Rattus norvegicus: one gene and its partners. The protein of the gene in region 1 purifies or fractionates together with the protein of each later gene. This does not show direct contact. Links are inferred from orthologs where the notes say so. Each region holds a gene or a part of one and is shown on either strand. Other genes may lie near its edges.

Region 1 (3,638 bases):
AGGGGCTCCATCGCATGCAAAATTCCAAAGAGTAATCCGGCCTTTAGGTTTCTGAGGTTATGTCTTCCTTAACCTTAGGATGTGGGCTCACTGGGATGAGATGTTCTGATGGACCCAAACGCCACACCATCACCAAGCTGAGATTAGAAAGACAAGACTCCACATCCTCTACGCCAGAGGACTCTTGACGCAGGACCACACATCCCTCCCATCACCGTGGTCCCAGGTGGTGTAGGCTTAAACTCTGAGCTGCTGCTCAATGGACGAACAGCGTTCTAACAGTCCAACAGGAAGCAGCATGACTCTCAACGCACCGTGGAGAACCCCAGCCCCACCCACTGAGGCGGGACGGCAGGTACCTGAGAGATTGCCGATGTTTCTGCCGCCAGCCCTGACTCTGCAGATGGCTGCCGTTCCGCTTTCTCTGAGCTGTTCGTTGAGTTTTCCATCGAAGACTGGGAGTTTTGCTCGTCAGAAGCATCTGAGCGAGAAGCAAGACAACAGAAGCTGTTTTCAGACACATGAGAAGCTGCAGCAGATGGGCCAGGTACTAAAAATACCCAGATCTGGGGAGTTTTGTGGCCAGGGGCTTCCAGAGCTCGATTGGACCAAAGCTTGGGAAGTTTCGATGTATCAACTAGCCAGACAGTTATAAGGAGCCAGGCCACAAGTGGGTTCTGTGGGTCTCCGACCCTCTGCCTGGAGAAGGAAGAGGGAGGGCTACTAAGCGCATAATGCTGCCAGTGTCTGGCGCCCTCTGCTGGGCACCAAGCACTACAGCAATCATGGCTGCCACCTGGCTCCGGCGGGGGAAGTCATGGCCGCAGAGACTTCATTGGGCTTTTGAAGAGAACCAGCATTCTCCTAACAGCAGAGGGAGCGGAAAACAAGCGTTCCCAAGAGTTTCTTATTTTTATTTTATGTGGACGGGTGTAGCGCTTGCATGTATGTCTGGGCACCACATGTGTGCCTGTTGCCTGCGTCTGATCTCCTGGAAACGGAGTTACACAGATGGTTCTGAGTCACCGAGCGCTTGCTGGGAACGAAACTTGGGTCCTCTGCAAGGGCAGCCAACGCTCTTAACAGTTGAGAAATCTCTCCAGTCTTTAATTCTTTAAAAAACAACAACAACAACAACTCCCATTTGTTTATTTAGTATATGTGCTTGCAACAGTTCGTATATGGAGGTGAGAGGACCACACGATGGAGTCAGTTCTCTCCTACCATGTGAGTTCTGGTGACTGAACTCAAGTTGGCAGGCACCTTTACCTGATGAGCCATCTCCCCCAGCCCCCTGCCTTTTTCTTTTAAGACGGGTCTCAAATATCCGAGGCCAGCCTCAGACTCTTTTAGAAGCTGAGGATAACCTTGAACTTTGGGGCCTATGGACTCTGCCTCCTGAGTGCTGGGATCCACAGGTGCACACTGCCAAAGCCAGTTTATTTGATGGTGAGGTTCAAACCCAGGGCTTCCGGCATGCCAGCCCTGGGTGAGTTCTCTATCAAATGAACTATATCCCGGGCCCAACTTTTCTCTTAACAATAAGGATGAGTCTAAGTGACTCGAGCAATGGCTAACCACAGAGGAAAACAAAAGCATAGCTACACTCACGTTAACTGATACCTCACACCTCTAAGATGCCAGCATTTTTTTTTTTTTGGTTCTTTTTCGGAGCTGGGGACCGAACCCAGGGCCTTGCGCTTCCTAGGAAAGCGCTCTACCACTGAGCTAAATCCCCAGCCCCTAAGATGCCAGCATTTTAAAGGACTCTGTTCTACCTTTCTAGATTGCTCCCTCATGTGCCTACGGACTTCCTATCTCTCTAAATGGTGACGTCACAGACATCTGCCTATCTTTACAAATCCTCTACACACGAGAGTTTACAACCTGGCTGAACAGCATCATGTGAAGCAATTGTTTATCTGACGATACTAATCGCTTGGGTTACTTGTATGGCCTCAGTTTTCCCTCTTGCCCTTCCTCAAGAACTTACATATGACTGGGTTTTTTTTCTCCCCTCTGTGTAGCCCTAACTAGCCTGGAACTTGCTCTATAGATCAGGCTGTCCTTGAACTCAGAGATCCACCTGTCTCTGCCTCCAGAGTGTTGGGATTAAAGGTAATTGCCACCCCCACCTGTCAAGACCCAGCAATTTTACTTTCTGGTCCAGAGACCAGAATCTTGAATACAAATGCCACACTGTTCACAATGGTGAATTCAGCAGTGGGAACAGCCAGATAGTATTATAATAGATATTACCCAGTCATAAAAAGGAACAAAGGAGTGTCAGGGAGATGGCTCAGGGGTGACAGTACAGCCATGAAAGCCTAAAAACCAGATTTGTTCCCTAGGGGAAAAAACCCATGTGAGCCACAAAAGCCAAAAACCCCAAATTTGTTCCCTAGAACCCGTGTGAAAATCAGGACGGGGTAGCACACGACTGTAATCCCAGCACTCGTGAGATGGGAGGTGAAGACAGGAGACTGGCTAGAAACTTAGGGGCCAGCCACCCTGGAGGATACAGCACAGCAGCGGAAACAGGGCAGAACCTGTCTTGACAAGGTTCTTGAAGCCAAGACACATGATGTTCTTTATGTGAAATGCCTACAACAGGTCAGCGCTCCAGCACGCACACGCGTAAGCACGCACGCACGCACACACGCATGCAGCGGACTGGTCATTATAAGGAAATGGTGAAGGAAGGCAGAGAGGGACTGTACAGTGTGGGCAGTATTTTTTATGGACTGAGGAAAATGTTCTGGAACTACACAGAAATGACAGAATATCCTAGATACCAGTCAAGAGCACTGGCTGCTCTTGCAGAGGACCTGGGTTTGGTTCCCAGGGGCCACAGGGTGGCTCAAAATCATCCGAAATGTCACTTCCAGGGGATCTAACACCTTCTCCTGGCCTTTGAGGCATACACATGGCGCACATATGTGGCTAAGGCAAACACTTATACACATAGCATTTTTTAAGAAGAGAAATGTTAGGGGTTGGGGATTTAGCTCAGTGGTAGAGCGCTTGCCTAGGAAGCGCAAGGCCCTGGGTTCGGTCCCCAGCTCCGAAAAAAAGAACAAAAAAAAAAAAAAAAAAAAAAAGAAGAGAAATGTTAGAGGGCCAGGTACGGCGGCACGCTTTCAATTCTAGCACTCAGGAGGCAGAAGCAGGAGGATCTCAGAGAGTTTCAGGCCAGTAGGGTTACATAGTAATATAGTAATTCCCTTCCTTAAAGAAAATGGAGGGGCGGGGGTGGGGTGGGACAAAAAAAAAAAAGTTGGACATGGAAGCACTTGGGACATAGACATCAGAAGTTCAAGACCAGCCTTTGCTGCTGCTACATGATACTCTGCTTGCAAAGCAGAAAAGAAGGAAGGGGGTGGGCGTGGGGGCCCATGTAACTTTGTATTCTATTTCATAGTGCATTTGTTTGCTTTAACTAACAGTTCAACTAAAAAGTCTGCTTCATTGGTGTCTGCCTCTGCGGGCAGTTTCAGTTTGTTTCCCACACGCACTGGGCACGCACGGGAGGGTTTACCGCTCTCGGGCAGTCAGTCACCAGAGATTTGGAGAATCACGATGCCCGTTTGCTGGCAGAGGCATGCCCAGGCTCGAGGCTTCCTTGAGAGCCAGGCCTG
Region 2 (4,252 bases), on another chromosome or scaffold:
TCCAAAGCAGTAGTCATTTTATCCGATCGTGCCTAATTACCTGGGGGAAGGGATGGTCTCACACATCATGTCCTGGAACTCACGGAGGTCTGCCTGCCTAGGATTCTGGAGTTCTGGGATTAAAAGTGTGAACCACCATGCCTGGCCCTTAACACTCTGGTTCCCGTGGCTGTGAGGACAGTTGGGCAAACTCCTGGTTACCACGGCCCTTCCTAGTTAACATCTCCTTCCTAAGGACCCTAGTCACAACTATGGTCTCATTAGGCTGACCCTTATGAAACTGGCCAGTTTGATTTCCACTTTCTTAAAGGTATTTATATTTTGTACATCCTCCCCCTCCCATACCCCACTTCCCCTATCCCCCCTCCCTCTCCTGTTAGTCCCTTTGCTCCCATACACAATGTCACTTTTCTTTCATGTTCTGTGTAGTACATATTTTATGAATCTATGTGAAATCTAGAAAGCACAAAGGAGAGAAAACCTATTTGTCTTTCTCAGACTGGCTTGATTTAATACGATTATCTCCAGTTGCATCCATTTTCCTGAAAACGATTTCGTTTTGGGGGCTGAAAAAATAATTCCGTCGTGTACACACATTTCACTCTTTTTGCTTTATTTTATTTTATTTTTTTCTGAGACAGTTTCTCTACCTACCCCTGGCTGTCCTGAAACTCACTGTGTAGACTTGCCTATAACTCACAGAAATCCTCCTGTCTCTGCCTCCCGAGTGCTGGGGCTAGCCACGACACCCTGCCTAGATTACATTTTCTTCAACCATTCTTCTACCTAGGCTGGGCTATAACTTAAGCTATTGTAATAGCGCTACAATAAACATTACTTAAACATTTTGGAGTCAAGGCTCTGTTCAACAGAGGGTGGACTGCTTGGACACTTTCCAGAAGCTCTGTCTTGCCTCGGGGCTGTTAAGGCCCAAGGCCGGCAGAGGCACAGAACAGGACTGGGCTTGTGGGCACCAAGCTTGCAGAGGTAAGGAAGGAAGGCAAGTGTCTCTTCCCGGTCACCTGGCACATTATATAGATCTTTGAATAGTACCAACCTCCATCCAGTACTGTTATTCTTCCCATCCCTACTGCCTCGGGAATAGCTGTGGGCCTGCAGCGGATAGCTAGCTATTCCTAGCGCACCTTCGGGTGGAGAACCTGGCCGGCCTGGGGTCGCCATGCCCACCCCGCTCCAGATGGAGCGGTTCTTCTCCCCGCTTAACATCTCATTTATTCCCTTCATCCCAGGGCGGAGTGCCATCTCAGGCTGTGCCACTAGAAAAGCCACCGCCTGAGTCAGGACCTCAGTGGCTATTTCTGTCGCTGAGAAGTTTCCCTCCATACCCGCCTGGAAGCAAAAGAAGCTCGGGTCCCTTTAAGGGCCTGCGGGAACGCGCTCGCGCAGGCGGCGGCGCGCACGTTAGCGTCAGCACCCCCACGCGCATGCGCACGGAGGGAGGCCTGCTCTTCGCAGAGACGGCTTAAGAACCTAGTAGTGACGCGAGCGCCTTCCCGGTTTGCCCGGCTCGCCCTGTCCGTCCTTCACCTCCCGGCCTCCGTTCCTTTCGGTCCGACGCGCCTCGGCCCCGCCCCAGCCCACCGGATTCTTTCCAGCTCGACCCCGGCTGCCAGTTTCCCCCGCCGCCATGATGATGATGGCGTTGAGCAAGACCTTCGGGCAGAAGCCCGTCAAGTTTCAGCTGGAGGACGACGGGGAGTTCTACATGATCGGCTCCGAGGTAGCCCGCGGCGCGTTCTCGGCTTCCCGAGCAGCGGCTGGCCGGCTCGAATCCCGGGGCGGGCCAGTGCTCCCCGAGTGCGCGCCTCCATTCATCGCGGAGGCGGGCTCGTGCTCGCAGCTGGGGCGTGGCCTGGTGGGCGTGGCCTCTAGGTTTCCTTACCCACTTAACATCCGACCCTAAGCATCTGCCCTAGCTTAGAGCTTAGAGCATCGAGCCGGTTCACTCTAGGCAAATGGAAAAAGGATGTTTGGGAAGCCCCTGGGTGCTTGGAGGTGCAGTACTGCCCTTGAGCCCTTCGGCAGCTCTCGTGCACCCCACTGCCATGGTCTTGAAACCTCTAGTTGTAAGCCTGAGGCTTAGGAAAACCTCCTCCCCTTTGTGTCCTTGTTTCTGTGGTGGAGTGCAGTAGCATAAGTTTTATGATGTGTAGAAAGTGATTGGAGGAGGATGTTTGCTTTTGAGTGGTTGAGGCCCCAAGGCCAGAAGCACTAACATTTTGGAGATCTGTGAACTGATTTTGAGTCTTTATAGGGGATAAATCTAAGGATCGCTAACCCATAACTCATAACTAGAAGAGACAGCCCCTGTTCAGTTAAGTGGACATAGTTCCTTAGGTTCGCTCTTGTGTGTTGCTACCCCTTTCATAGGGCTCCCACATCAGATATCCCGCATATAAGATAGTGACATTATGATTTGTAACTCTAGCAGAATTATAGTTATGAAGTAGCAACGGGAGAATTTTATGGTGAGGGGTCATCACAACATGAGAAACTGTATTAAAGGGTCACAGCATTAGGAAGGCTGAGAACCACTGTCTTAGAAAAACCCTACAATTAGACCTACAGACCAGCCAAATGTATGAAGTTTCTTTTCTTTCTTTTTTAAAACAGATTGTCTCAAACTAGCTTTCTTCCATCTAAGGGCAACCGCCAACCAGTTTATGTCTCCACTCCCCCCTTCTCTTTGAGACAAGATCTCATTGTGTGACCCTGGCTGGTTTGCAACTCCCCTTTGAGACCTGGCTAACCTTGAACTCACAGAAATCCACCTGCCTCTGCCTCTCAAATGCTGGGATCAAAGCACTTGGTGCCACCACATCCCGTTTATGTTTCCTTTTCTTTCTTTCTTTTTCTTTATTGTTTTTTTTTGTTTTTGTTTTTGTTTTGTTTTTGTATTTTAAGCTGTGGGTGGCCAAGCACTAGGCTGCACCTTTAACCTGAACACTCCAGAGGTAGAATAGAGGGTGAGTTTGAGTCCAGCCTGGTCTACGTAGTCTCAAAAGAAAAAAAAAAAACCATAAAATTCCAATATGTGAAATTTTTTTTCTTTTCTTTTTTTCGGAGCTGGGGGCCTTGCGCTTGCTAGACAAGCGCTCTACCACTGAGCTAAATCCCCAACCCCTCAATATGTGAATATTAACCAGTAGACATATAGCATGTGTAAGGAGGTAGGGCCCACCCTAGAGAGCTAACTAATGCCATTTCAAACTGCCAGCAGTTACCTCCTGGCAGCTGTTGAGTGTCTTATACTCCATTAGGGTGTTGGTTGAATCAGGTAGTGGGACCAGTATTGTCAGAAACATCTAGACTTAGCATTTCTGCTTTCACTTTTTTCCATTAAACAAAAAGTGCAGGCTGCCATGACTGTTCCCACCATCACCTCTGCTACTGTTCCAAGGTGGCAGTGCTGGGGACGTGCAGTCAGGGCCCGGCCATCTCCTGTGGCTCGGAAGGGTGCTGGTTGGCCAGTAGGCATTTGTGCAAATGCAAGGTCAGTACATAAGGAACAATCTATGCAGGAGAATTTGTTGAAAGACGCTTCCCTGAACTGACCAGTGAAAGAGTAAATCTGGCCTGAGCTCTAAGAGGCTGGGGGTAGTTTTGAAAAGAAAATACGTATCTGGTGGAGCAATTGAGAGACAGCTCCTGGTCATGTGGGAAGAACCTCGGGACAGCTTGCTGTGCCTCCTTACCCTCTCGCCACTCTCTTCTCCTGCCTTCCTCAGTTCTCATGCTGGGGAGCCCTGAGCCTTTGCGCACTGAACACGTGTTCTTGCACTGAGTACTCTTGACCGGTTTTATTTTTCTCATGCATCCGAGATGTTTAAACTGGAAATACATGTCTCTTGAGGTAATTGTCATCGAATGTTTTCGGTTTTAGAAGTCCAACCACAGCCTCCTTTTGGGCTCTTGACTCTTTGCCTTCCCAGTTGAATGAGAATAGTTATCCCCAAGACCAAAATGGGTGGTTTCTCACTCCTTGGAGCCTGGCTTTGATTTTGGGAAGAGCACAGGGTCATATAGTATTTTCTGTCTGCAGTATTGTCTGGATGATGGATTCAGTTTTAGACAGATGGGACAGATGCAGCACACTAGCAGTGTCTCTGACCTCTGTGGAGCTGCTTTGGGAGGACGTCTGCAGCGGATATGACTATGTCCCTGTCATCCTGTCATTTGCCACAGGAGTCACAGGACTTTGAAGAAATGAATGCCCAAGTCCAGAATCTTT
Region 3 (4,105 bases), on another chromosome or scaffold:
TGAGCAGAGGAAAGCCTGACAGCAGAGGGCAAATGAATCCCAGGCCAGAGGCAGGGGAACAAAACCTGCCTTTCTCTGGACAGAACACATGACCAGCAAATAGCCTGGACCTACCCAGAGGCAGCTCGGTTCCCCAGCAAAAGTGCATCAGACGAGCTCACTTGCACACAGTTTAAAAGTGTCAGAGTGCAGAGCTCTGAGGGAACGGCGAGCCTCCCCAATGAGCTGCTGGGTGGAGAGTCTGGGGTGCTCATTAGTCTGATGAGCAACAAAGAGCCAAGCCTTTGGGGGGGCTATCGTACTTAAACTGTGGTGCCTCCAATGAAACCTGGGAAGACAGAAATAACCTCAAGGACCTAAGGGAGGAAACATGGGCTCAAACACTAAGCACAGATGGTGGTGGGGATAAGTGAGCACTGAAATCCGAAGGGCAGCATCACCAGGCAAAGTAAACAACAACCCAGACCCCAGAGCAACAAAGGTTTCCACTTGATACCAGAGAAGCTGTGAGAGTAGGCACAAAGGACCATTGTCTTTGTAGGCAGGGAACACAGCACCCCCAACCCCCTTCCGGAAGCTCCCAGCAGGAGTGGTGAACACCAGTCAGGTTTCCTGCTGACCACACAGCACTGCTCCTTCCCAACAGCTCCCACCCTGAGCACCAACCACCATGGACCCTGAACTCACATCCTCCAGGAGCCGTCCTTCTACCCGGAGCTCCCAGGAAGCCACAGTCCCTTCCCCGTCCTCGGCATCCGACTTAGCCGGATTGAATGTGTTAGAAATGAAAATCCGCAGCTTCCGTTTTTGCTGAGGAAGGCAGAAACAGGATTGACCGTGGGGCTTCAAGAGCACAAGGTTCCCTAAAGCTCCCAGGTCACTCCTACCAGGCTGGCTTTGTAGATGGATAAGGACTCCACTGAGGAGCAAACAGGCCCTGACTTGGGCCTGAGTAAATGTGCCAGGGTGCCAGGGAGACAAAGTCGTGCAAAGTGGCAGGTTCCCAAGGTAGCGAGGAGCAAAAACAAGGACAGGGTGTGTTTCTGCTGAAGAGAGTGGGAAGCCCCCCCTCTCCTTGCCAGCCGCCCCACTCCTATGCTCCTGATGTAATTCCTGGTTTGCAGGCAGAAGGGAAAGATGCAGTTTAAATGCCAAAGAGAGATGTGCTGTGCCTTTGGGTTTTCTTCCTAAGCTTGGTGGAGCGTCCTGGCTCCCTCCTGTGACCCTCTGGTACTCTCCTGGTACCTTGATGGGCCGCTTCAAGGCCTCCTGGATATCCAGGCGTTTCCTCATAATAGTCTGGTCCAGTTTCCTTTCAAAAGCCAGGAGATCCATGTAGGCCTGTGATTCCGGTACCAATTCCCGAATCTTAGGAACAGAAAGATAGGGTCAGGCCCTAGAGCTGACCACCTCTATTCTCAAAGCCACTACCCCTTCAGGAAGGCCTCTACAGCTGCTGCACTCACCCTCTGAGGTAGGATTTTGTCAGCCATCTTCTTTTTCTTTGCACTGTTCAGAATAAATACTGTTATCAGGTTGGGATAGGAACTAGTCAAAACATGAGCATCGCTGTGAGCACCTCCATTTATGGTACAGCTACTACGGCCTACGGGATGACTCTCCATCTCCCAGTACCACAAAAACTCCACTTCATCACGAGGCCAGAGAGCCTTCAAAAGGGTGAGTCCCTGCAGCACCATTTGATACTGCAGCGCCTGACTTCCTGGGGACTCCCAGCATCAGCATCCTCACAGGCCTCCTCCCATCCCCGTCTTTCCTTCACCCCAGGGGGCATCTTACTTGTGATTTCGATTTTGGACCGCCTGCTGCTGGACCTGCTGGATCTGTTGAGGTGCAGGTCTCTTGCGGGATTGGTCCATCCCTGACTGGGCCAGGCCAGGTCGGACTGAAGGGTTCCCCCCATAGCCAGGAGGTCCCATGGAAGGTCCCTGAGGTGTCATTCGGCTGCCTGGCAGCATACCTGGTCTCTACAGAAGGGAGAGGACCAAGAGATGTCATATTTTTCCATGCTAGCCCCACCAAGGAAGGAAAAGTGGTGGAAGGCTGGATTTCAGGGATGGGGTAGGGCTGGGGGGTGGGTAGAGTGGAGGACAAGACAATCCTTTGCTTCTTTGAAATATGGTAACTGGAGCTTCTTCAGGCCTACTAGTGATTTAATGGAATATAGTCTAAAAACTAGATTATACTTGAATTTTCTGATCTATGCTGGATCTGACTCATCAGACATTTCTAGTCCTACTTTTTTCTTTTTTTAAACTAGCTGCTGTCTCCTCTAAGGCTGACCTCAATTTGCTGCAATAGCTTGGGTGTTCCTGGAGACACTGGGGCTGCCCATTCCCCTCTGCATCCCATGCCCATCCCAGGGCCCACTTCACCCACCCTGGTTCCACACTCGCTCCTCACACGGAAACAATGCCGCTGGGAGCAGGTAAGGATGCTAACCTCCTTCCCCCCACTCTTCCTCCGCTCAGTTTCCCCCACCTCCACTCCCGGCCCGAGCCCCTCCCTAGGGAGTCCCTCCCACTTCTCCCTCACCCCTGTCAGTCCTCCGCCCTCGCTCGGCCCCGCCCCCGGCCCGCGCGCCCCTCCTCCTGTCCCACTCACCGGATAGGCCGCCCCGGGCATCGGAGAGCGGTACAGCCCTTGACCCGGCGCCGGGCCCATTCGCACGGGAGGCCCGGGAGTTCCGCCCGGGCCCAGAGCAGCCGCCACGCCCGCTCCTCCTGAGGCTCCCGCGCCGCCGCTCGGAGCCACGGACTGGAAACCCGCCCGGGCCGCCATCTTCCCGGAGCCGCCGCTGCAGCTGCACAAAGAACCGGAACCGGAACTCCCCCCGCCCCCCGCGCGCCCCCCGAGCGCCTGGGCTGTTTGTGGGCCCGGCCCGCCGGCGGGCACGGGCGGCTCGGGGCAGCGAGACTACGGGCTAGAGGGGGCGACTAGCGGGAAAGGCGTGCTGACCACTCCCTCCCGCCTTCACGGGCCAGGAGGGAGCACCATAGAGAGGCGGTGTGCTGATAAAGAAGTGCCGGGAGCGAGCGCCCCCGGGCGGTTGGAGGACGTCAAGGCCTTGCAAAGAGCCCAGCCCACCCCGCAGGCGGCTGGAGTGATGCTTCACCTCGGCCCAGTGCGTTTACCTCTCCAAAGCATTCTGGTTGGTTTGCTTTTTGTTTTCCTACGGATCAGACTCCGGATGCTAAAGAGGGAAACAGGCTGTTTGTTCGTTTTACAAACGGAAAAGCTGAACTCAAAGGAGGTGAATGTCGTGGCAAAGACAAATCGAGATAAGAGAAAAGCCATCCTGGATTCGGGTCTCCTGGCTGGTAGCCAGGGCCTCATCTTATAAATAATGGCTTAAGGGGTTGGGGATTTAGCTCAGTGGTAGAGCGCTTGCCTAGGAAGCGCAAGGCCCTGGGTTCGGTCCCCAGCTCCAAAAAAAAAAAAAAAAAATAAATAAATAAATAAATAAATAAATAAATAATGGCTTAACAGCTCCCCGGCACGGGAACTTAGCCCTTCACCTCAGACCTTTAACTTCAGATTTTAATGAATTCTTTTACCTTGAATCTTCTCCAAAGAGACCCGGATATCTGTTGCTTTAGATTACTTTGCTGGTCCACTGCCTAGGGAACAGAGGATTCCTGAATTTGTTCTTTTCCAGGTGGATCAGTGTTTTTACCTGATCAAGTATGTAGGGTCTCGAATAGCCTGGTCTAGCGTTAAACTCACTGTGTGATGGAAAACAGCTGCTCCATCTCCTATGCGCTGGAATTAGAGGTGGAACCACCACACCAGACTACCACCCAAATTTCTTTAGTTGTGTGGCCCTCAAGGCAAGCTCCGATCTAAAGGTTAACACCCAGAGTGCAGGGTGCTGGCAGCTCATACCTTTAATCCTAGCGTTTGGGAGGTAGGAGGATCTCTGTGAGTTCGAGGCCAGCCTGGTTTACAGAGCTGTTCCAGGACAGCCGAGGCTACACAGAGAAACCCTGTCTCAACACAAAACAAACAACAAACAGAAAACCAACACTGAAGAGATGGTTGAAACCCAGTTTATTAGACCAGAGGCATGCGTCACCCAGAGCCC
Region 4 (3,321 bases), on another chromosome or scaffold:
CCTTGCGGGGGGATTTCCTGGAGGGCTCAGCAGTGCTATAGGCTTTATGAACCTTGGTGGAGAGCTTTTGGGGGACCAGAGCGCCTCAGATATATCTGCAGTAACTCTAGGGAACCCTCAAGTCTGGGTGATGATGGGGTCTTAGAGCTTCGGCCACCTGAGGCTTTTCTTTTGTCCCCTCCCCCCTTCTATAATCTCTGGCTCTGGCTTATTAGAGCAGAGAAACAGGCTGTCTTCTGCCTTTCAACAGCTTTGATGAATTTCTTCCTGATGAGGAGAGACTTGTGGCAGGACTCCCAAGGTCCCAGGGTCTCCCACTTTTAACTCCTCAATTGCCACTGTATCCTTGCTCTGCTCCTATCCCCTTTCCCTTGTCTCTGGGTCGTGTTTCTTCCCCTCCCTCTGCTACTGGTCATGAGTCTGACTCCTTAGTGCCAGATAAAGAAGTCGCAGAGACTCATCTTCAGGATGCTTGGGTGTGGGGGTTAGGGGGTGGGCCTTTAACTTGGTATGAATCTCCACCCAGGCTGGCCTGGTTGTCTGGTTGTACTGATTGATTGCATAACCTGGGCCCCGGGGGCCAGGCCTGTGAAGCTGCCAGGGACAGTGTGTGCAAGGCAGAGCTGCCAAACAGGCCTTTCAGGCAGCAGCTATGTGCATGGAGCTGGGAGGTGGAGGGCTCCCAGAAAGGTTGGAAAACTGGGCCTTGGATGGGAAGTCAAGAAGCTACTCGTGTCACCCAGATTGTTGCTGTGACTCTGTGTCCTTCCATCCCAGACAGTCTTAGTCTGCAGTTTGGGCTGGCTAGGGTTAAGTCGGACCAGCAGCAGCCTGGCTGCCAGGTGGTGCCGAGACCATGGGCAGAGGCCAGATGTTTGCTGTTCTCATTCCCATAGGCCACCCAAGAACCATAATTTCCCTTTTTGAGGGTCTTTTGACATAGAGATAGGGGCATGGCAATGGGGGGGGGGGGGCAACAACGGGTTCAGGTTTTGTAGGGGCCATATGGTGACCAGATGGTGTCTATACTCTCCTGAGGCCATCCCCACAAGTTGTGACATAGCAAAGCCATACATTATACTGCTCACCTGAGGTGCTGCTGCCTAATGGTTTGCCATCCCTACTGCCTTTCTTCCCGTCATGCCACCAGGCACAGGCTGTTTACATCCTCCCGGACTCCCCTGGTTGCTGTTGCTATGCATTGCCTCTGGTCTCCCGAGTAATGTTTTTCCTTCAGGATGGGGAAAGGAAGAAGGGGTGTCTAGGGGCTATCTAGGGACTCTATAAATACCTTGAAGCTGGCCGATCCCAGGGTGCAGGACATAGCATATTGGAGCTGGAAAGGTGTTGATAAGTCCTAAAAAATTCCCCAGGTCCTGCCTTCTGCAAGAGGCACTCTCCTCCCGCCCATGGACTCCGGCTGCCTCATTTGTTGGCACGGCTGCCAGGGCGGTTGCAGGGGCGGGGCAGGTGTGGTTTACACGCTGGGCTCAGGCGCCTGTTCCCCTTTGTTCCTGGTCTCCCCGTGTGAGAGGGAGATGGAGGGTATGGGCTATGGACCTCGTAGGGCTCTCCCACTGACCTGTGCCCCTCCACTGTTCCACTTTCCCCAGCGACCTGGCATGTCCCCAGGAAGTAGGATGCCCATGGCTGGCTTGCAGGTGGGACCTCCGGCTGGTTCCCCATTTGGCACAGCTGCTCCACTTCGACCTGGCATGCCACCTACCATGATGGATCCATTCCGAAAACGCCTGCTTGTGCCTCAGGCCCAGCCCCCGATGCCTGCCCAGCGCCGAGGGTAAGACCTTGCCTGTCTCGTCTCTGGTGGTAACCTTGACCACAAGGAGACTCTTGGCAATTTGGGAGAGGGTTTTGAAGATAGTGAGTTTGGACTGTTAAATTCTTAAATGGGTTTCTGTTTTCCTACTAGGTTAAAGAGGAGGAAGATGGCAGATAAGGTTCTACCTCAGCGAGTAAGTGTGTTACGGAGGCCTGCCCAGGTCTGGCTGGCCAGGGTGGGGGTCCTGGAGTGAGCAAGGAGGGAGAGTGTTAGAAGTAGAGCTGGTGAAGCAAGCCATTGGATTTCTCAACCTGCAGATCCGGGAGCTTGTCCCAGAGTCTCAGGCATACATGGATCTTTTAGCTTTCGAGAGGAAGCTGGACCAGACCATCGCTCGCAAGCGGATGGAGATCCAAGAGGCCATCAAGAAGCCTCTGACGGTATATACTACCCCAAGTTCTCCCAAACTATTTTTCCTCCCTGGCCTTGTTTTCCAGGGAAGAGCTTGGGCTTGAGCAGTACTTCTCACACAGGGAGCCATCCATCCACTAGAGCGCACTCAGTTTCGCATGCGTTGAGGTGGTGTCTTGCTACAAATGGCTACTCACTCAGTCCTGCCTCTTCTTCCTCTTTAGCAAAAGCGAAAACTTCGGATCTATATTTCCAATACATTCAGTCCCAGCAAGGCAGATGGTGATAATTCAGGAACTGCAGGGACCCCTGGGGGAACCCCAGCAGCAGACAAGGTGGCCTCCTGGGAGCTTCGAGTAGAGGGAAAACTTCTGGATGATGTGAGTTGGGAAAAGAGGTATTGGGAGGGAGAAGGCGTGTGTGAACTTAGACCATGGACAGACATGAGCGTCTTTATGAAGTCCGAGCCTAGGGAAAGGGTAGATCTACCCAGTTAGAGGTTAGACTTGCTGGTGGGGTTGTTGTTTCTGTGCTGGGGATCAAAGCCTGGACCTCACACATAATATACTGGTCCAGAGTGAACATCTGTAGTTACTGCACTACAACTTTCCTGTAGATGGCAGTCAAGGGTCTTGGATTCACTCCCTGATTGGCTGGCAGTGGGGTTCATGAAGAGCCCTTTTCCTGCCACTTTGCCCACACATTGATGCCGACTCGTTTCTTCTGATGAATAAATTCAGCAGCACACTCGTCTTACATAGCTCTTTCCTCTCAGCCTAGCAAACAGAAGAGGAAGTTCTCCTCATTCTTTAAGAGCCTTGTTATCGAGTTGGACAAGGAGCTGTATGGGCCTGACAACCATCTGGTGGAGGTAAGAGTGGTTCTAGAGTCTGGGAGGGACAAGCTGTCAGGGGGTACAGCGCATGACATCAGTGTGCTGCTGGCAGAGTGCTGTAGCCCATCTGCTAGCGATGAACTCTGCGTTCTCTTGCCTGACAGTGGCATCGGATGCCCACCACTCAGGAAACAGATGGCTTTCAGGTGAAACGGCCAGGAGATCTCAATGTCAAGTGCACCCTTCTGCTCATGCTGGATCATCAGGTGACAGTTGCTCAGGGTCACAGAGAGGG
Region 5 (4,405 bases), on another chromosome or scaffold:
TCTATAATGCAGACATCCTGCTCTATGGCAGGCATTCCCTTCACCTCTGCCTTGTGTAGGTGACAGCTCTATCTTTCATGTGGACACACTATATTTCATGTGAGGAGAAAATGCTGGGTTTATTGTCAGGAGCTAGAAGTCCTGGCCATGAAAGGGAACTCAAATTCTGAAATCCAAGAGCTAGATCATCTTTTCTGATCTGGTCCTGTACATTCTTGGAAGAGTTGTGGGGAGTGTTGTGGATGGGGGCTGGGGAGCATAGGGGTGCTTCTCTGTCCCTTGCCTTTGTCTATTGGACCTGTTGTCTTCCTGGTGCTCCTTTCAAAGGGTGGGGTCCGGCCTTTCAAAAGGCGAAGTCTAAGAACTAGGATCAATATAAATCCAAGCACACTGGCTTTCATTTCCCAGGGATTCCCAATCCTGTGTCCTGCAGGTGATTATGTTTTCTGACACTGTCATATGGTTTGGGGGACCTTCTCTATGTTCTTGCCTGATTGGGTCCTGTTCAGCCAGAGTGCTGCTCTGACTTTTCTCGTGGCCACTACACCTAGGTTTCGGGAGTGGCAAATGTAGAACAAAGGAGCCAAGGGCGCCTTGGGGACCCAGAGGTGTGCGGAGTGAAGATGGCGGGGTGGGGAAAAGGCACTACAGGAGAGGGGATCTCAAGGAGAGAGGAGGCGGAGCTCCTGGGGTGGTTGACCCTCAGGGCTGAGGAGAGAGGAGGAAGTAGACTGAGGACTCAAATCCTTCAGTTACAGAAGGGAGCGCAGACACTGGTGGAGAAGGGGAAGGTGGCCGCGGGTGTGGGGACCCCAGGCTGAGGGGAGGGGCTGGGACCGGTGGTGGGAGGATACCACGTAGCGGGGACCCTTGATTCGGGGTGGGGGCGGGAAGAGACAGCGTGGTGGAGACCCCTGGCTGAGGGGAGGAGCTGGGCACCGGTGTGTGTGTGTGTGTGTAGGGGTGGGGGTTGGAGGACACGCGTGGTAGGGACCCATCTTTCACGGGAGGAGCTGGCGACCCAGGTGGGGACTAGGCAGCCGCCGCCGACTGAGGACCCCCGGCTGACGCGCGGCGGAGGAGGGGAGGGGGCGGGACCGCGGCGGGGCGGGGCGGCGCGGAGCCGCGGCTGACGCGAAGGGCCGGGCTGGGGGCGCAGGGAAGGGGCGGCGGCGAGCTCGCCAGGCGGCCAGGAACCCGGGTCGGGCCGGGGCCCGGGCCAAGGCGGCAGCTGGCCAGCGGAGCTCAGGCCGGGCGCGGCGGGCCGGGTGAAGGCGGCAAGGCGGCGGGCCCCGGCCCAGGCCCGTAGAGCCGCGCAGCTGCAGCCGGCTGACGTGAGCGGCGTGCGGGTCCCGGCCGGCGGCGCGCTGGCGGCCATGGCGGTGGCGCTGGCGGGCCGCGGGGCGCGCGGCGGCAGGGGCCGGCCCCCGGGCGGGCGGGCGGAGGGGGCGGGGCCGGGGCGCCGGGCGGCCCGCGCGACAGCGGCGGCAGCGGCGGCGGCGGCGGCTGGGACTAGGCGACGGCGGCGACGACGACGGAGGCGCGGGGCGCTGGGGCTGATGGCAGCGGCCGGGCCCGGGGCGGCGCTGTCCCCGCGGCGGTGCGACAGCGACCCGGCCTCCCCCGGAGCGCAGTCCCCGAAGGTGAGCGGAGCGCGCTGCCCAACGGCTGCAGCGGCCCGGGCCGGGTTCGGGAGCGCAGTGGGGACAGGACGGCGGGTCCCCAAGCAACAAGTGCGGCGAACGGTGGGCGCGGACCTCAGGGAGACCTGCGCGGCGGGTGGGAAGTTGTCGGGGAGTAGTAGGGACCGGAAGACTCGCGAAGAGTGGTTGAGACGGAGCGCCCGCAGCCTGGGGAAGTCAGAAAAGTTGCGGCCTTTTGGGATCTCAAGTCCAGGAGACGCTGAGCGGGGCGTGCGCTCGTGGTCCCGAGTTGGCAGAACGTGGGTTCACACCCACAGACTCGGCCAGCCGAAGTGACCCGTCCACGTGCCCGTCCCTCCCCGCGGGGCCTCTGTCTGCTCCCCTGTGAACCTCACTGTGGCCGGGCCCGAGTCAGAGCAGCGCCCGGGGGCTGCTGGCTCCTGGCCCCGACTGAGGACCTTGCAGAGAAGAGGGCCTTACCTGGAACGTAGCCCTTAGAATTCATACGGTTGTGAGCTGTTAAACTCTGTGTCAACTTCCATTATTGTTTCTTTTCGAATGGATCATTGTTTTTAACTAAAAGCGTTTTTAAACAGAAATCTTTAAAATATTCACAAATTAGTAAAATAGCGCTTAAAATGCTTCAGAGCTTAAAATGAACCTTGTCAAGCAAGTATGGAATATGAGTACTGTGAAAAATTAAATATTAAATATTATCTTTCAACTTGTTTTTTAGTTTTAAAAAGGAATATTAAGTTTGTTTACTTGACTTCATTTTTGATGAGTGAAAAGGAGAATGGTTTCTTTTTTTTTAATTTGAAAAATAATTTTAGTAAATTCCTAGGTGCTAGAGACATAGTGAAATGTAAAATCACTGCTAACCTCAACGTTAACATATATCAGTTATGCACTAGCCCTTGCTCTTCATGTGCTCATGTATCACTTCACTGAATCCTTGCATCAGCCACCTAGGCTTTCAGACAGGGAGAAGCTGGCAGGTTACCACACAGCTGGTGGACAGCTGCTCCATACGACTCCAGGCAGCCCACAGTGGCATGCTGACCTGACGTGCTGGCCTGTGCTTCCTTTTTATTTTCTTTCGCGGGTCCTTATTGAAATATATAGTAAGATTAGTAGTGTTAAGAGCTATAGTACCTTGATTTAAAGAACTATGAGCTGAAGCCATGAGCAATATGTAAATGAATTATTTTAAAAACATTTGACTACTTCTTTCCTTAATGGAATGGCTCAACAACTTATATCTTCTATGAGCTTATCACAATGTGCTGAATTTCTGCTATAGAAGAAAAAGAATGTAGTTAGACTTGGTAACCTGTGTCCAGTCCTTCATCTGCAAAGTAGCTAATTAGAATGTGATCTGGTAGGCCAGTTGTAAATGGAAGTGTGCTACAAAATTTGTTAGTATTTATTTCCCAGCTCAAATAGGAAGGCTTACTTTGATTTTAAAGTGGTTTTGCTATTAAAAAGCAGAAGACATTTGAACACAACCTAGTTGGTAAGAAAATGAAAGCAGAGTACATTTAAAATATAGTTGAAAATCAATTTTGTTTAGATTGAAGGTCAGTTTTTAGATTTATTCCATTTCTTATAACAAATTCTCTGTCCTTTTAATTATTCTAAAATTAAGTTTTCTAAGGACACTAGGTAGAAATGTGCTTTCTCTTGTTGATATTTAGGCAGACTGGAATGATACAGAATCACTCTTTGTTTTTAATTCATTTTAACATTTTCCATTTTTTTAATGTACAGGATGATAATGAAGATAACTCAAATGATGGGGGTCATCCATCTAAAAGAAGACGAATGGGTTCAGGGGATAGTTCAAGAAGTTGCGAGACTTCAAGTCAAGATCTTAGGTACTGCTGCTTTAAGGCTCAGTAGTGACTTCTGTAAACTGTTTGCTCACTTCTTCTTTCCTATCCCAGGCAGCATGAAAAGTTATTAAAAATTATATGTATGGGCTGGAGAGATGGCTCAGAAGTTAAGAATGCTTGTCTAACTGGAGATTGGTTACCAGCACCCACCTCCCCCAGTCTCCTGTAAGCTCCAGAGGCGCTGATGTTCCATTCTGTCCTCCACAGATGTTTGTACACATATACACAAAGCAAGCAAACAAACAAATCTTTAAAAAAGAGTCATATAATATAATATCGAAGTTGGTCTTGCTCCTGAGAACTATTAAAAAAAACAAACGATAAAATAGGTACATAAAATACAGCCATCGTAACACTTTTTATATATAAGAAGTATAGTTCAGTGGCATTAATTACATTTACAATATTGTGCAACCATCACTCTCACCCCTTTTCAAAACTTCAGTAGTGAAACTGCAGAACCCCCCAGTACCTCCTGTTCCTTCCTGCCCCCTGCTGCTGGTTGGTTACCAACTAAGTTCTCCTTCCTGCCCCTGACTGTGAACCATACAGTGCCTATCCCTAACCATATTATCTTCAAGGTTCATCTGTGTTGGAGGTCCTGAAGTCTGAACGATATTCCACTGTATGTGCTGCTACATTTTGCTTATTCCTGTGTATGCCTGCAGGCTGGGGTAATTAATGCTGAAGTGAACACTGGCGTTCAGAACCCTTGCTCTTAGTACCCTGGTATATAGCTAGAAGTGGAAAGCTGTACCATATGGTAATTCTGTGTTCAGCTTTTATAAGGACCTTCCATACATTTCCAGTGGTACCACCATTCTGCATTCCCACCAGTAATACACCTTGCAACATTGTTTTTGGTTT
Region 6 (4,183 bases), on another chromosome or scaffold:
GAAGCCAGGCAATTGCCCAGAGCATAGCCGAGTCTCGGAGCCGTGCAAGGTACCCCAAAAATGAATATTAATGGCGCCTTTCAACCTTTCAAAGGATGTTCATATCCGTACGGCTCTCTGCGAGCCAGTCAGAGCAGGTCTTTTCATCCCCACTTGACAGATGGGGCAACTGGGGCTCAAAGAAAAAAGCGACCTCGCCAAGGTCACCCTGCTCTTCCCGGCAAAGGCAGCACCTGACCGGCCCTGCTCCCCGCTGCTTCGCTGCGGTGAGGGGCTGATTTCCTGTCCTCATTTCTCATTTCCCAATTTCCACACCCCACTTCTGGGGCTGATGTGCTTTGTACTTGAGCCCCCATCTCCCTTTCAGAGCCCCCGGCTTTGGCACCTCAATCTCAAACATAACTGGTTCAGCTAACTCCAGGTCTCCACACCCACCGACTTAGCCTGCCTCTTTAATGTCATTTCTCCCAAGGTGATACAAGAGGCAAGGGCACCTGAGGGTCTGGTGTCATCAGACTCTGCCTAGTGGCAAGTGGGGAACTGGACTAGAAGTGGGCTGCCAGTGCAGGGACGGTTGAAGGAAGCAGCATCTGTAGCAGCATTCATTCCCTCTCCCATCTGATCACATAAGAGTCAACCCATTCCCCACCCAATCCCAGGAAGGGTAGAAATTGGAGGGAAATGAGGCAGATTGATTTTCCCCGGCCACCACCTCTACTCAGTCAATCAAAACAGAGGAGATGCCAATGTGAGTGAAGTGTTACAGATTTCACTTGTCCAAGCCCAGGAAGGGGGCTGAGGTTTTGGGACTAGTCAGGAGGTGGGACGAGTTCAGAAGAACAGGAAGGGTATTAGGGAGAGAGGTATGAAAACCCTATTTAAACACCCCCATCTCAGGCTAGGGATGTAGCTTGGTACAGGGCTTGTGCAACACATGTGGAGACCTGGGTTCGATCCCCAGTATCAAATAAACTGCACATGATAGCACACACTTGTAATCCCAATATTGAGGTGGAGGCAGGAAGTCAAGTACTGATATATAGTGAATTTGAGGCCAGCTTGGGCTACTGAAGACCATGCGCATGCGCCCTCGAGCACGCAGGCACGCAGGCAGGCACGCACGCCCTCATCTTGCCCCCAGACTAAGAAGCCTTAACCCTAACTCCCAGGCTTCCTTTCTCCTCTTACACTGCTTACCCCTAAGGTCTCCACCCATAGCCAGCAGCTGTCTCTGCTCATCTCTTCTGCAGTGAAACTGGCCTGTCCCTGAATCTGCCACCCCCACTCCACCTGGCTCTGTCACTCACAGCACCAATGCCACCAGGGTAGAAGCTCAGGCCTAGCCACCCTTCATGACTATAGAGGGGGCCCTAATCATCATCCAAGAACTGAACCTCCAAGGTGGCCATATTCAATTAATTCTTCATGGGGTCGTACTCTTTCAAGCGACTACTCAAGCAGCCAGGTCAGGACTGGTAACTCCACTAGTCCACAGGGCTGTCTTGGAAATTACACCCCAGATATCCCTAAGGCTAGAACAGGCTGCCACAGAGAAGCCCTCTTCCCTATCAACTGCTCTCCTATTCATCAAGGCCACTGATACTGTCTGGTCTACTGAGAGGCCCTGAGGAGAAGCCTTCTAGGGGATCCCAGAGGCCTGCCATTAGTACCCCCTCATAGAGGTCAGATTCTGGGGGCCCTTGCCTCTCTCACTGAAAAGGTGCTTCCAGGGGTCACAACCAAATTTGATCATAGTGAATCTGACTGATTCTTCCCTCCATGTGCCCAGGCTTGGAGCTCCTCATAGCCAGGCGCTCTGTCTGCTAACTGAATTCAAGTGTCTACCTCATTAGGTCCCTGAGTACCCTCAGACTCTTCGTGTGTGTGTGTGTGTGTGTGTGTGTGTGTGTGTGTGTGTGTGTGTGTCTGTATGTGTGTGTGTGTGTGTGTGTGTGTCGGTGTGTCGGTGTTAGAACAGTAAGTATAGTCTTATCCCTTTGGTCTCTAGGCCTCATGTCCCCAACTCCAGCCCCTCCCTCACACCTTTGAGGTGTTAAGGTCATCAACTTTCTGGTGGCTGAGCCTGCCAAGGAGGTCCTCTGACTGCTTAACTTGGGGTCTCTCAAGTAGGCCTCTCTCAGCTCTGACATCGGGGCCAAGTACTCAAGGCCCTCCTGCTAGGATGCAGGGGTTGCTCAGCCAGAGAGCTTTGGCTCTTAGGTGCCTTCAGGGTCACCTGCTCTTAGTTCTTCAGACCTAATCAGAGTGACCCTGTCCCAAAGGATGAACAGGGACAACAGGCAGCCCAGCCCTAGCTGTGTGTTCGAATCACCACCCCACCCCCACCCCCAGGGCAGGGGTAACACCTGAGCCCACCAGTAAAAGAATGTGAGATATGTCAGTTACTGAGGGGACCCCCCTCTTGGGGGAGACACGGTGCCCACATCCCACCCCTTGCCCCTGATAAGAACCCAAGCCGACGCCTCTCTTCCCAGCCGCCGCGCGCCCATCCCCAGCCGACCGCTTGGCGACGTGTTCGGATGCCAGGGCGCCGGCAAGGTCCCAGGGTTGGGCCGTGACCGTGCGCCCCCCAACCAAAGGGGTGGGAGAGCGGGAGCGCGCCGGCGGCCCCTCCCGATCATCCCTCCATTCAGCCCGAGCCAGCTCGCTCACCCTCCCCCGCTAACTTTCCCCCACTCACCACCCCATGGACCAGAAACTCAAAAAGTTTGCTTTTCGTGGCTTTGCGCGCCCCTCCGGCAACTTCGTCCGCGGCCATCGGGGTGGGCTCAGCGGCTCCTCTCACTCTCTCTCTCTCTTCCTCTTTCTTTCCCTTTTCTGCCTTTTTTTTCCTCCAACTCTCCCCTCTGAGTCCTGCTGGGCTCTCTCACACTTCTACTCGAGCGGAGTGGGGAGGGGGCCCCTTCAGGGCTGCCCTGACGGCCCACGGCCCACGCCGCCGCCGCCCGCCCGCCGCCGCCGCCGCCGCCGCCGCGGCTGCCGCATTCCTGCACTGATAAGACAGAAATAGTCCGGCGGCCCGGGGTCTGCCTGCGACGCGCCGGGGACAGAGCGGCCCTTCCGTGCACTCCGCGTGGTCCAAGCGGCGCACAGAAGCGGCGAGACGAGCCGATCTGCCCGGAGGCTGCGCGATGGGCAGCTCAGCTGCGCCCAGGCCGCCCGGGGCCCATCGGTGGTGGCACGGGGAGGGGACACCATGGGAGGTGACAGGGGGCTCGCTAGCCACCCTGCCCTCGCCACAAATAGTTTCTCGGTTAGGGAATTCGCCGACAGGGCCAGGCAGGGAACAGGCAGTTCCAACTTTCTTTCCCCAAGTGGCTCCTGCCGCATTTCTGAGGCCCTTTCCCCAGGGACCAGGCAGGCCAAGTAGGGAAACATTTGCTGCAAGGAATCTGGGGGGAGCCCGAGCCCGGAGCAGGCCTTGCTCCTGTCCCAGGGCCAGCCGCGGTGGGTGTGCCGGGCTAGGCGGGCTCCTGGGCGCCCGCAGATGTGTGTGCCCTTGTCTCGCACACCGTGTGTCTGCACCCTTTTGTGGCACGGCGCAGAGGCTGTGGGTGTGGATGTTTATGTGCGTGCACTGACAAACGCCCCGTCGGTGTGCTTCCCTCCACAAGAGCCGCCGAGCTTGCGCGCGTGCGTGCGGAGCAGGACACGGCCCGTGTCTTTCAGCTCTGTGGGAGTTTATTTCTGGGCTCGTGAGTCTTTGTTTGACTCTGTGTGAGAAAGTGAGGGCAATAGGGGAAGTATTTCCGAAAGGGGGACATGGATTGGGCTCATGAGAACAGGAGGAGTACATTGTGAGGAATGGCGCGGATCCAGGGTGGGTACTTGGGTGGGTAGGAGGAAAGGGTGAGGCAAACAGGGCTTGATGGCTTGGCGTGGAGACGCAGAGTCTGGGGTTCGTGAAGTCCGCCCCAGAACCAAAAAGAAAGCAGGAGTGTGGTGTATGAAGATGAAGAAACCCCAAATGGGACAGTGTGGAGAGAACTGGCCAATCCCGGAGGGGAGGAAGAACAGAAAGGAGGGGGCAGATCCTGAAATCCCTAGGTTGAGCCCAAGCCCCGCCCATGCCACAAGCCACGCCTGTCCACACCTTCAGGAGGAGGAGTCCCCGAGCTTTGAGACAACCAAGGGTCACGTTAATGGGCTAGCTGGGGGTGGG
Region 7 (3,090 bases), on another chromosome or scaffold:
CAAAACCCTAAGCCAAGCCAAAACCTTTGATGATTAAAGTCCTTTAACAAGTAAAGATAAAACTATTACTATATATAACCAATTATGAAACTGGTTTTAAACAAAGGAAACATATGCAAAAAAAATCTTTTGTGTATTTGATAGTCAACTTAATGTAACAAAACCAAATTTGAAATAGCTTATTAAAAGTGTCCTTATATAAAAATGGCTGTGTGATGTACAGTAAAATGCAATAAAAATTATCATCCTTTGTTCCTCCCTCCCACCCCAGTAACTAAAATGGCTACCGCTCCACAACTCTTTGCTTCCATAGAAGAAACAGTAACGCCATTAAACATTTTCTAGGTTGTATGCCTGTCGGATGTTGAGAGTGTCTCGAAGCATTAAATCCCGCAGGCGCCAGAGGGCATCTGCCATGGTGGTGTGTGCCCCTTTACTTTTGAGCCAGTGAGAAGGTAGGCGGCTCTCCTGTTCTTTTGACAAATGGACATCCCGTCTTCGAGCTGAAAATTTGAAATATAAACAGACATTAGGATTTTTTTTTTCTTTTTTTTCGGAGCTGGGGACCGAACCCAGGGCCTTGCGCTTGCTAGGCAAGCGCTCTACCACTGAGCTAAATCCCCAACCCCCAGACATTAGAATTTTAGGATGATAAAATGACCCCAGTTTTAAGGGTTGATGTATTTATACTAAAACAAAACAATATTTATTAAAGTTATGAAAATGTGATATAAATTACAATCATAGCAAAGCTTATTAAGCATTGATATCTGACCACTAACACTCTTTTCTAGACAACCCTGATATTAACAGTTTCTTCAGTGTTCTAAGACTAAGAGCTAGTTCTCAACGTAAGCCAAACAACAAAAATGAAAACTCCATCCAGGATCAGGGAGACAGCTCAGTGCACAGACGTTCTCATTGCACAGGTCAGACGACAGCCATCCCTTACTCCACACAGAGGCAGATGTGGTGCTGGTCTCAGGAGTCCTAACTTCTAAGGCAAGATGGCAGTCTGAGACATGAGCAATGCCCAGAGTTAAGGGGCAGTTGGCCTACAGTAAGTAAACACTGCAGCAGCATACGTAAAGGACCCAGCCTGTTCCAATGCGGTAGAAGGTAAAACTGATTCCTGAAAGCTGTCTTCTGTCATCCGTGCTACCAAAGCACATGTGTGCTTGACCACAAACACACACATTTTTTTTTTTCTTTTTCTTTTTTTCGGATCTGGGGACCAAACCCAGGGTCTTGCGCTTGCCTATCTACCACTGAGCTAAAACCCCAACCCCACAAATTTATTTTTGGTTCTTTTTTTTTTTTTTCGGAGCTGGGGACCGAACCCAGGGCCTTGCGCTTCCTAGGTAAGCGCTATACCACTGAGCTAAATCCCCAGCCCCTCACAAATTTATTTTTAAACATGAATAAGCTTCCAATTTCCGTGAGAAACTAGGTAACACCATGTTAGACACATTCCCTATTCAGCTAAATGAGCAGCTTGGTAGACTAAACTTTCCAGGTTTCCCGTTTTAAAATTTGACATGTATTCTATGTTCAAATATCTGGGGGGTGGGGGGACGGGGACAAACCAACAACCTGAAAAGGGAATCAGAAGGTATCTGAGAAGGTGGTAATAGGATATGACTGAGCTTTGATATTTTTTTAAACCCATTTTTGCTGGGTCACTATGCAAAGAAGCCCACATCTATTCTATGAAATATATAGTTTATTTCCCTTTACAAGAAAAAGAGCTTGCAGCAGTGAGAGGACTGGGAGAAAACATGCATTTCAACAAGACCCTCCTACCTGCCAGAGTTTGGTCCCACTTGCTGATGCTGTTGGATTCAGCACTGAGTCCTTCAATGTATTTCAGGTAGGCCTCTGAGTGGAGAAGCCTTTGGGTCTTTGGTGGGGGAGCCACAAACATGGGTGTTGTTGGCTGCTGTATGACAGGGGGGCCAGTTGGATGAGGACCAGGATATGGAGGTGGTGCCTGCTGCCCTGGAGGTCCCAAAACTCCTACCTGAAAGAGCATGGGATTAGATGATCTTGTCAAAAAGATAATCGACACATGTTCTGAGAAAGCAGAGGCCTAAAGCATCTCGAGCCCATGGAAAGAAAATTAAACGAGGAGGCTTACCTGTTGTCCATATGGACTTCCACCTGGTGCCGGAGTCCCTACCATGGGGGTGACTCCTTGATTCATCACACCTATAATTCAGAATGCAATGGCACAATTAGAGGCTCTGGGTTTTGCTGACTGATAACTGACAAGAGCTGGTGCCATTTATAATGCCAGCCTCTGTACCTTTGTCCTCGAGTGTGAATAGGAGCTGTAAGCACCCTAGTCGGAATCTAATTAGGGAATTTATATCCTTCTGTTTCTGGTTTCTTAAACATATAGTACACTGTCAGAGGTGCATTAATTATTCCCGGCGTGGATTGTTTTAAAGCCCACATGAAACTGTAGGTGAGTGAACCACAGTTAGAATGCACTTCTGTTGTCTTCTGACCATACACCCTTCTGACCATTGGAGCCTGTGGGACCGGGCTGAGCAGGAACTATTGTACTGGGATAGGAAACAAGGGCTGAGGAAGAACAGTTATCTGAACCCTGCGGAGGCTGGAGGCCTCCTTAATGTGCCTCTGTAGGGCACCAGCCGGCTCTACCCCAGGCACTAACGTTGGCAGAGAGAAGGCATTTCAGTGGATGATGTGGAAGCAGTGGAGTAGCCTTGTTGCCATTACCTCAGATTCCAAATGACAAAGGAAAAAAGAAAGACGTTGTGGCCCTTTTCTCTCTGGTAATCACTCAGTAAACTTCCTTGGGTAAATGTTGATGAGCAATTGCTGTCTCATAGTTGATAACAGTAAAATGTCCCAAATTTAGTCTTTAAGACAATTTTCATCTCAGGGCTATCTGTTTGCTATTATAACAAAACAAAATAGCCAAGAGACTCAGCCTACTAAACTAACAAACCACAACCAATTCCTTTTAAGCTGTTCTTTAAAGCCTAAGTCCTGTTCAGCAGTGATCTGTACTAGGAGGAGCCTGCTTCCTGGTCTTCTGCTCCTGTCTAAAATGCTGATGTG

What was found.
Region 2: the proteins of Bcl7a (region 1) and Smarcb1 purify together in Homo sapiens (affinity purification with mass spectrometry; 7 studies listed by BioGRID and IntAct, counting the BioPlex papers as one, with this or other methods). This does not show direct contact. The link is inferred for Rattus norvegicus from reciprocal best matches to the Homo sapiens genes BCL7A and SMARCB1.
Region 3: the proteins of Bcl7a (region 1) and Smarcd1 purify together in Homo sapiens (affinity purification with mass spectrometry; 5 studies listed by BioGRID and IntAct, counting the BioPlex papers as one, with this or other methods). This does not show direct contact. The link is inferred for Rattus norvegicus from reciprocal best matches to the Homo sapiens genes BCL7A and SMARCD1.
Region 4: the proteins of Bcl7a (region 1) and Smarcd2 purify together in Homo sapiens (affinity purification with mass spectrometry; 5 studies listed by BioGRID and IntAct, counting the BioPlex papers as one, with this or other methods). This does not show direct contact. The link is inferred for Rattus norvegicus from reciprocal best matches to the Homo sapiens genes BCL7A and SMARCD2.
Region 5: the proteins of Bcl7a (region 1) and Phf10 purify together in Homo sapiens (affinity purification with mass spectrometry; 3 studies listed by BioGRID and IntAct, counting the BioPlex papers as one, with this or other methods). This does not show direct contact. The link is inferred for Rattus norvegicus from reciprocal best matches to the Homo sapiens genes BCL7A and PHF10.
Region 6: the proteins of Bcl7a (region 1) and Smarcd3 purify together in Homo sapiens (affinity purification with mass spectrometry; 4 studies listed by BioGRID and IntAct, counting the BioPlex papers as one, with this or other methods). This does not show direct contact. The link is inferred for Rattus norvegicus from reciprocal best matches to the Homo sapiens genes BCL7A and SMARCD3.
Region 7: the proteins of Bcl7a (region 1) and Pbrm1 purify together in Homo sapiens (affinity purification with mass spectrometry; 3 studies listed by BioGRID and IntAct, counting the BioPlex papers as one, with this or other methods). This does not show direct contact. The link is inferred for Rattus norvegicus from reciprocal best matches to the Homo sapiens genes BCL7A and PBRM1.

Annotation. Positions count from the first base shown.
Region 1 is NC_086030.1:38,877,218-38,880,855, forward strand, and holds part of Bcl7a (B-cell CLL/lymphoma 7 protein family member A), read right to left. Parts: intron 482-3,638; coding exon 360-481; intron 1-359.
Region 2 is NC_086038.1:12,739,496-12,743,747, forward strand, and holds the start of Smarcb1 (SWI/SNF-related matrix-associated actin-dependent regulator of chromatin subfamily B member 1), read left to right. Parts: upstream 1-1,452; 5' UTR 1,453-1,648; coding exon 1,649-1,741; intron 1,742-4,252.
Region 3 is NC_086025.1:132,707,329-132,711,433, reverse strand, and holds the start of Smarcd1 (SWI/SNF-related matrix-associated actin-dependent regulator of chromatin subfamily D member 1), read right to left. Parts: upstream 2,808-4,105; 5' UTR 2,803-2,807; coding exon 2,626-2,802; intron 2,576-2,625; exon of another isoform or gene 2,401-2,575; intron 1,989-2,400; coding exon 1,801-1,988; intron 1,510-1,800; coding exon 1,467-1,509; intron 1,369-1,466; coding exon 1,246-1,368; intron 811-1,245; coding exon 688-810; intron 1-687. UniProt on the Homo sapiens protein: Involved in transcriptional activation and repression of select genes by chromatin remodeling (alteration of DNA-nucleosome topology).
Region 4 is NC_086028.1:91,696,088-91,699,408, reverse strand, and holds part of Smarcd2 (SWI/SNF-related matrix-associated actin-dependent regulator of chromatin subfamily D member 2), read left to right. Parts: intron 1-1,613; coding exon 1,614-1,798; intron 1,799-1,930; coding exon 1,931-1,973; intron 1,974-2,097; coding exon 2,098-2,220; intron 2,221-2,415; coding exon 2,416-2,571; intron 2,572-2,966; coding exon 2,967-3,062; intron 3,063-3,190; coding exon 3,191-3,292; intron 3,293-3,321. UniProt on the Homo sapiens protein: Involved in transcriptional activation and repression of select genes by chromatin remodeling (alteration of DNA-nucleosome topology).
Region 5 is NC_086019.1:64,638,822-64,643,226, reverse strand, and holds the start of Phf10 (PHD finger protein 10), read left to right. Parts: upstream 1-1,559; coding exon 1,560-1,643; intron 1,644-3,413; coding exon 3,414-3,520; intron 3,521-4,405. UniProt on the Homo sapiens protein: Involved in transcription activity regulation by chromatin remodeling. Belongs to the neural progenitors-specific chromatin remodeling complex (npBAF complex) and is required for the proliferation of neural progenitors.
Region 6 is NC_086022.1:11,462,003-11,466,185, reverse strand, and holds the start of Smarcd3 (SWI/SNF-related matrix-associated actin-dependent regulator of chromatin subfamily D member 3), read right to left. Parts: upstream 2,911-4,183; 5' UTR 2,780-2,910; coding exon 2,702-2,779; intron 1-2,701. UniProt on the Homo sapiens protein: Involved in transcriptional activation and repression of select genes by chromatin remodeling (alteration of DNA-nucleosome topology).
Region 7 is NC_086034.1:6,313,842-6,316,931, reverse strand, and holds part of Pbrm1 (polybromo 1), read right to left. Parts: intron 2,209-3,090; coding exon 2,138-2,208; intron 2,021-2,137; coding exon 1,804-2,020; intron 504-1,803; coding exon 331-503; 3' UTR 1-330. UniProt on the Homo sapiens protein: Involved in transcriptional activation and repression of select genes by chromatin remodeling (alteration of DNA-nucleosome topology). Required for the stability of the SWI/SNF chromatin remodeling complex SWI/SNF-B (PBAF).